2 linked regions of the Mus musculus genome follow. The protein of the gene in region 1 purifies or fractionates together with the protein of each later gene. This does not show direct contact. Links are inferred from orthologs where the notes say so. Each region holds a gene or a part of one and is shown on either strand. Other genes may lie near its edges. The genes, in order: Pld1 and Arf1.

Region 1 (3,817 bases):
TGGCCTTCAGCTCTTGACCCTCCTTCCTCTGCCTCCCCAGGGTTGAGGAAATAGGTGTGAGCCGCTATGCTGCCTCAAGGCTTCTTGTGTTTTATGTTGGACAGTGGTCAAGGGCTGGTGAGGTGGTTCAGTAGGTGCTGCCAGGGCTGAGAACCTTAGTTTGATCTCTGAAGCCAGGTCTGGGGGATGATGGAGGAGAACTGACTCCTGACAACTTTCCTCTGAGCTCCACCTGAGTGCTGTGACACCCATGTGCTCACAGACACATGGGCACAAAATAGGTCAATACATGGAAAGAAACACACAAGAAAGATCATTCGAGGCAATCTATTAATTTAATAACTCTCCCGTAGCCCTTTCACTTGGGCTTTTGGCTTGCATCTGTCTGTTAGGTCTCAAACCCAGGACAAATGGCCGAGGTGCCGATTTAACACATCAAGGTGGACCCGGCTGCCAGGTTCTCCCAGCATCCCTCGGTCCCTACCTGTTATAGGGTATGATTGGCATATTGCCCATCCCTCTCACCCCCATCCTAGCATCTCCAGCCCAAGGCTCTGCTTCCTTTCTCCAGAGCCCTTCCCTATATAATCCAGCCATCTGGTTACCCTCCCCTTTACTCTCCTGGCTATGCCCTCTCCCCTCCTCTTCTCCTCACATGGCCCAGATAAAAGTCAACTTCACTCTGCTCTCCCAGACGCCCCTGCCTTTGACTCTGCTCTCTCCCATGTCTACAACAAGCCTTCCCTTCCCCATACCGAGGAGTGGTCATGCCCTTCCCTTTTATTTCTTCTGCTTATTTGTTTTTCATTCCACATCCATTCTAACTGAAGGCCATTTATAAGTCAAGAGAAGCTGTACTTTTCCTAAGACGTCTTCAGCAAGAAAATATGAATGCTACTTATCTCTTAAAAGGAAACAAATGTCCCAACATTGTGATCTATAAGTGCGTGAGATCTATATTCAGGTGCACTGCTGAGAGAAAATGCTGCTGGCAAATTTTATCTCTGATTTGTTCTTGAGACCCCACTCTCCAGTCCCCTGCAGCCTATCTTTAGTCCTCTGGGTGTTACCTTCAGTCCCTAAATTCCACCCCGGCCTCTGAGACTTCATCCTATCTGTTCTTTCTGAATACAAAAAAAAAAAAAAAAAAAAAGAAAAAAAGAAAAAAAAAGAAAAAAAAGAATTAGCATAAACTATCTCTGCAGAGCGAAGCTGGTCTCCCAGAAACACATTGGATCAAAAAACAGTCTGGGTAGTTGTTTGCTTATTGCTGCTTGGATTTCATACAAGTCAGGTCTAGTAGTTGGAGAACGGTGACCTTTGTACTTCAGGTTAAGAACTAGTCAGGACTAGCTACCATTGGCCTCTGCCTCCACACACACCCAGAATCATAACCTTTGGTCAGCAGTCAGTTGACCCCCCCCCCCACTTCCCAGCCTCCCATCCCCCACCCTCAGTATCTTGGAGGCTGCCGGGCAGCTGTGGTTTCGATTTTGCTGTACTCAGTTTACACCACCCTGGTGTCCACACTGGTGTCTGCCTGTCTGCCTGTGCTCTGGACTCTTTTCTTTCCTTCTCCCCCTGTCTCTGTCTCCCCTGCCCTTCCCCTTTTCAGAGATGGTCTCATGTAGCCCCAATTAGCCCCTACATTTTGGACATATTATTGCTATGTAGCTGAGGCTGACCTTGAACTCCACCTCAGGAGTGCTGAGATTAGAAACCCATGTCTCCACATGGGGTTTATTCACTGCAGAGCTTTTGGTTGCTTGAGCTCAGCTGTAGGCTTTCCCTACAGCGTTAGGCTCACACTTCTGTGATGAGCCACGTCTCTAAGATGTCCCTTTGCCCCTTATTCTGCCTGGCATCTTTTAGAGGGCAAGGTATACTGCATAGGGCTTAAATGCACAGACTCTGGAGCTGAACTGCAGGGCTGAGTTTGTGTCTTTGCTTTGAAATCTTGAACAGGAAACTGAACCTCGTGGTTTCTGTACCCTCAGACACTGGGTCTACAAGTGCTTTACATTAGTCTGACAAGATCACAATCCTGTTATACACCCTATACTCAGCTGGGCAGCAGTCTTCCCTGTGTCCTTGAACCCTGGCAGGTGCCTCATGCAGGGGCTTGTGTAGACAAGGCTAGACCTTGGATTTTCTTTTCTTCCATTTTTTTTAATGAAGGGATGATATCATGCTCTGTGCCATTTGTTTAGGTAAAAAGGGCTAAGAAGGTGGTCCCATAGGCCCTTGTTCCTGCCTCCTCTCCATCTGCAATGTGTCTTTGCTGTCCATGTGTGACCAGGGCTCTCAGTGCTTGTCAGGGTCTCACTAACTGCTTCCTCCATTTCTAGTGTGCAAGTGCGTGTGGGCATGCGTATGCATAGAGAAAAAGGATTTACAGAGTTTGTTTGTATGATACAAAGTTTATTTATGTAATTTATTATGTGAACATTTAAGGCAATACCTCTATATTTGGTTGCTTTTTTAAAAAAAGTGTTACCTACAATGGTTCACAAGTGCCAGCTCCCTAGCAGAGACACTTCTGTCAGTGAATGGCTACTGGGATAGAGGGAGCTAACTTCCTTTGAGTGGGTAGCCTCTGGTATATCCACCATGCTCCTGTGGGTGCCCTGTCACTTGAGTATATGGGTAGCACAAATTGGACTGGGTAGGTTATTTTTAAAAATGAGGAAGGGAGAAGAGGGGAGGTTGGGGGTGGGAATTGGTTTTAGGAGGAATGAGGGGGAGGGGCAAGGATGAGTATGATCATAACACAGTATATGAAGTTCTAAGCAAATGACTAAAGATAGCGTATCTTTAAAATGCCAAACACCAACACAAAATAAATAGACTGATAGTACTTGAATGTTACTTAGCAATTAGCTGATGTTTGCTATGGGGAAATTTCAGAACTTTCCCTATCTGAGATAAAACCTTTTCTTTTTAAACATCTGTCACCGTAGGTGCCAAGTATCAACCTGTACACGATCGAGTTAACGCACGGGGAATTCACATGGCAAGTTAAGAGGAAATTCAAGCACTTCCAAGAGTTTCACAGAGAGCTGCTCAAGTACAAAGCCTTCATCCGGATCCCCATCCCCACTAAAAGGTAACACGGCAGAACTGACGTAAACTTACCTCCGTTATGTGGACGGAAGACACATTTCATTTGTTTCACAGGCTACCAATCCCATTTTAGTTAGCTATTTTCAATTGCATAGCTCTTTTAAAAATAAGCCACCTCAGCTGCTGTGTACAGCAAACTGTGATCCCCAGCACTTGAGAGAATCAGGAGTTCAAGGCTAGTCTTGACTATATTTGAGCTGGAGGCTAGCCTGGGCTACATGAGAATGTTTTAAACATTGACAGGATATACTACTAATATCAATTATAATACTGAAATAATACTGAATGTTGTAAAAATAAAATAATATAATACTAAAATATCAATACTAAACCATGGCATGAAAGATAATATAAAATACTTTAAGAATAGTCTAATCGCTTTTTGTATTGTGTTTGTGTGTATTTTAGACATACATTTAGAAGACAAAATGTCAAAGAAGAACCCCGAGAGATGCCCAGTCTGCCCCGTTCATCAGAAAACGCAATCCAGGAAGAGCAGTTCTTTGGCAGGAGGGTGAGTCTTTATTCTGCTGCTTTGTGAAAGTTTAACTGCACTTATTCTTCTGTGTGTGTGTGTGTGTACGTGCATGTGCGCATGCGCGCGCACGTGTAGTGATCAGAAGACCACTTTGTGGAATCAGTTTTTTCCTTCCATATTTTTATAGCTTCCCAAGATCAAACCCAAGTCTTCAGG
Region 2 (3,817 bases), on another chromosome or scaffold:
GATTATGGCATTCCTCTCCTGAAGGATACGGCTGAAGACCTCACCTTAGAGTCAGACATCCAACCTGCCAGACCATGATTTGGATGTCTACTGTATCTGTTGTTGCCAAGTTGCCCACTGTATGATGTTCTGTTAAGGTAGCACTACGAGACAATTTATAGGGAAACTTTGTCATTCTTTTTCCTATGGGTCAGTAGCCTTGGATAATACCTAGGATTGACAACTCTTTCTGAAGGCACTGTGGCCTTCTATTTGCTTTTCTTATTAAGAGTTAACAATGAGCATTTGACAAAGCAAGCAGTAAATCCATTTGGATGAGAAGTGAAGATCAAAGTGGCCACCAGATGTTGAGACCAGACCTAGGGAAACCTTACTATCCTTCCCAGAAGCTCTTAACATTTGATAGGCCCTGGTACATTGGTACCAACTAAATTGCCTAGCGTTTCTTTTCTTCCAGTGGGCCTTACCTACTAAGTATGCATAGGCCCTTGCAGGGACACAGCTCACATTTGCCTGTCATCCTCTTATAGGAATGTGCTGCCAATGGTTTACTGTTTGAGTCTCTTTCTTCTTGCGACTTGAGATAGAACACTGTCTTAACATCTGTCTCCCATGACCTGGGCAGACAGAAATGCCTGGAGAGATGGCATCACAGTTCTTATGGGCTTGTCTAGTCTCGCTGTCACCAGGGGCTGGTAGAACATTTGGCTTGTAGTGTTGAGCATAGAGTGTGACTATTTCTTTAGTTGAAAATTGTGGATACTTTGACACTTTGAAGTAAGAATAGAGATGTAAGGTGGTTTTTTCTGATTTTGTGAAGAGCTCTGTTAGGTTTTAAGAGGCCCTGTGTCAGCCAGGCAGTGGTGGTGCATGCCTTTAATCCCAGCACTTGGGAGGCAGAGGCAGGTGGATTTCTGAGTTCCAGGACAGCCAGGGCTATACAGAGAAACCCTGTCTTAAAAAACCAAAAACCAAAACAAACCCCAAAAAAGGCCCTTTCTCTCAAAACTCTTTTTAGTGCCAGCTCCCGAGTGTGAGCATACTTGATTGTAGTTAGATGTCCCTTCATTCTGACAAGTGATTAGACTTGGGAGACAAGGGGTTGTTGTGGTATCTGCGTCTTCCTAAACTGATATGTGTGACCTTGGTGAGCGTAGGGAGTCTGGTGGGCAGGGGGCAGGGTTCTTTGCTGCCACCTGGGACCTAGGATTGAATTGTCTCCCATCCTCCCATGAAATTTCAGGAGGGATATGAGGACATGGCTTAGGGCAGGGGACTCCTACATAGGTGTCTCTGACCTGCCACAGGGCCCACACTGGCAGCACATAACAGTACTTGAACCACTTTTCTTTCCCAGGTCTTTGGCCAGTATCGATTCCACCTGTCCACAAACATGGGGAATATCTTTGCAAACCTCTTCAAGGGCCTTTTTGGCAAAAAAGAAATGCGCATTCTCATGGTGGGCCTGGATGCTGCAGGGAAGACAACAATTCTATACAAACTTAAGCTGGGCGAAATTGTGACCACCATTCCCACCATTGGTGAGAAGCTGGGCCCAGGGCCAGGGTGGGGGTTGGGTGTGGGGATCCAAAATACAGAGGCCCTCAGCTGCAGTCCTGCCCCCCAGGTTTCAATGTGGAGACTGTTGAATACAAGAATATCAGCTTCACCGTGTGGGATGTGGGCGGCCAGGACAAGATCCGGCCGCTGTGGCGCCACTACTTCCAGAACACCCAAGGTAAGCAGCCAGTCCTTGTCCTAGATTCCTCATATTTGCCTCAAAGGGATACAGTTGGTTCACTGAGCCTTGTGGTCTTTGCCATTTCAGGGCATGAAGCCACACCAAACATCACGGCCAGTGGAAGGACTGGATCTAGAACCTGTGGGGTCTGGTGGGGAGTGTTCAGTATGTGCACTAATGTGGCCATGTTTCAGGCTTGATCTTCGTAGTGGACAGCAATGACAGAGAGCGTGTGAACGAGGCCCGTGAAGAGCTCATGAGGATGCTAGCTGAAGATGAGCTCCGAGATGCTGTTCTCTTGGTGTTTGCCAACAAGCAGGTAGGCACCAGCAAGGTCCTTCCCTGAAGGAAAACCTGTATCAGGGAAGAAAGAGGAGGGGTGAAAGGCTACCCAGGGTTATTGGCTGTTTGTGGTCCCTGCCACTAATTCTTCCTTTTCCTCAGGACCTCCCCAATGCCATGAATGCGGCCGAAATCACAGACAAGCTGGGGCTGCACTCTCTACGCCACAGGAACTGGTACATTCAGGCCACCTGTGCCACCAGCGGGGACGGGCTCTATGAAGGACTAGATTGGCTGTCTAATCAGCTCCGGAACCAGAAGTGAACCAGACCCCTCCCTCCCCCTCACTTCCTCTTCTCCGCCCTCAGCTTTCCTCTCATGTGGCAAACGTGCGACTCTGTGGTCCTGAGTGCCAGAAGCTGTCTCCATGGGTTGGTCACAGTGTGCATCGCACCGTGCTGTACATGTGCAGACGCAGCCTGCAGCCAGGTTTTTATTTAATGTAAATAGTTTCTGTTTCCACTGAGGCAGTTTCTGGTACTCCTATGCAATATTACTTAGCTTTTTTATTGTAAAAAGAGAATCAACTCAACTGTCAGTACTGAGAAGGGATTTGGGTGTAGGGGCACCTGGCCTCCGGGAGCCATTGGGCTGTAGACTGGTGTCGGTATCCATTTGGTGGTTGGTTTTTAACCCAAACTCAGTGCATTTTTTAAAAATAGTTAAAAATACAGGACAAGAACACTTGAACACACAGAACGGAGACTATGCCTAGTGTAGGTTTTGCAGTTAATGGCCTGAATGCTAGATATCAGATCACCTGTTTCGCTGTGGGAACAGGAGAGAAGGTGATGAACAAACCACCATCCGCTGCATGGTCACAGTAGAGCCCCCGTGACTCGCCTGTCTTTGGGTCACCTGCATTCCATAGCATTGTGCTTGTACTTGTGCTCACACGGTTACCTAGGGTAGGCTGGGAGCCATTGTGGGGTGCAGGGCCTGGCTTGTACTTGGTGTGTGCAAGGCCCAATGGCAGCCTGCATACCCAGCCTACTCTTGGGCCCACTTGGACGCGCTGGCAGGAGGCCTGGGTCTCACCAGCAGGAGTGCGTGCAAGGTGGGAGGGTCGGTCCATTACAGACCCACATCCTGGAGCACCCCCATCTCCATGTGTGAAGTAGCTTCCTCCCTCAGCCTGCAAGGGTCCGATTTGCCATCGAAAGACGACCTCTACTTTTTTCTTTTGTATTTTGATAAACACTGAAGAAGCTGGAGCTGTTAAATTTATCTTGGGGAAATCTCAGAACTGGTTTATTTGGTGTCGTGGAACCTCTTACCGCTTTCAATACACAATTAGTAATCAACTGTTTTGTATACTTGTTTTCAGTTTTCATTTCGACAAGCACTGTAATTATAGCTGTTAGAATAAAGTCTCTTAACTATTTGATGGGCTTGTGTGTCAGTGCCACCACTGCCAGGCTTCTTCCTGAGATTGAGAGCCCTTTTCATGCTATAGGAAACAGGGAAACAGGTGCCCTTTAAGCCCTAGTGTAATCTGGTAAGATCTGGATGTCTTGACGTGCTTCTTTCCTTTCCTTTCTGTGACAGACTGGGGCAGCTGGCCTTGGAGTGCTTATCTCTGGGTAGGTGTGACCACTAGAAGATCCAAAGTTTATCATCCTTCCGAATAGGCCCCTGCCTAAGTGGACTGACCTTCACCCCCTTGAGGTCTTAGATAATTAGTCTTCTCTCATGCTTAGGTGGCTACCTGCAGGGCACAGGTCTTCATAGAAG

Evidence for each region.
Region 2: the proteins of Pld1 (region 1) and Arf1 purify together in Homo sapiens (affinity purification with western blotting; 3 studies listed by BioGRID, with this or other methods). This does not show direct contact. The link is inferred for Mus musculus from reciprocal best matches to the Homo sapiens genes PLD1 and ARF1.

Annotation. Positions count from the first base shown.
Region 1 is NC_000069.6:28,025,636-28,029,452, forward strand, and holds part of Pld1 (phospholipase D1), read left to right. Parts: intron 1-2,960; coding exon 2,961-3,106; intron 3,107-3,531; coding exon 3,532-3,637; intron 3,638-3,817. UniProt on the Homo sapiens protein: Function as phospholipase selective for phosphatidylcholine. Implicated as a critical step in numerous cellular pathways, including signal transduction, membrane trafficking, and the regulation of mitosis.
Region 2 is NC_000077.6:59,211,064-59,214,880, reverse strand, and holds the end of Arf1 (ADP-ribosylation factor 1), read left to right. Parts: intron 1-1,357; 5' UTR 1,358-1,393; coding exon 1,394-1,541; intron 1,542-1,627; coding exon 1,628-1,738; intron 1,739-1,935; coding exon 1,936-2,060; intron 2,061-2,185; coding exon 2,186-2,347; 3' UTR 2,348-3,469; downstream 3,470-3,817. UniProt on the Homo sapiens protein: Small GTPase involved in protein trafficking between different compartments. Modulates vesicle budding and uncoating within the Golgi complex. In its GTP-bound form, triggers the recruitment of coatomer proteins to the Golgi membrane.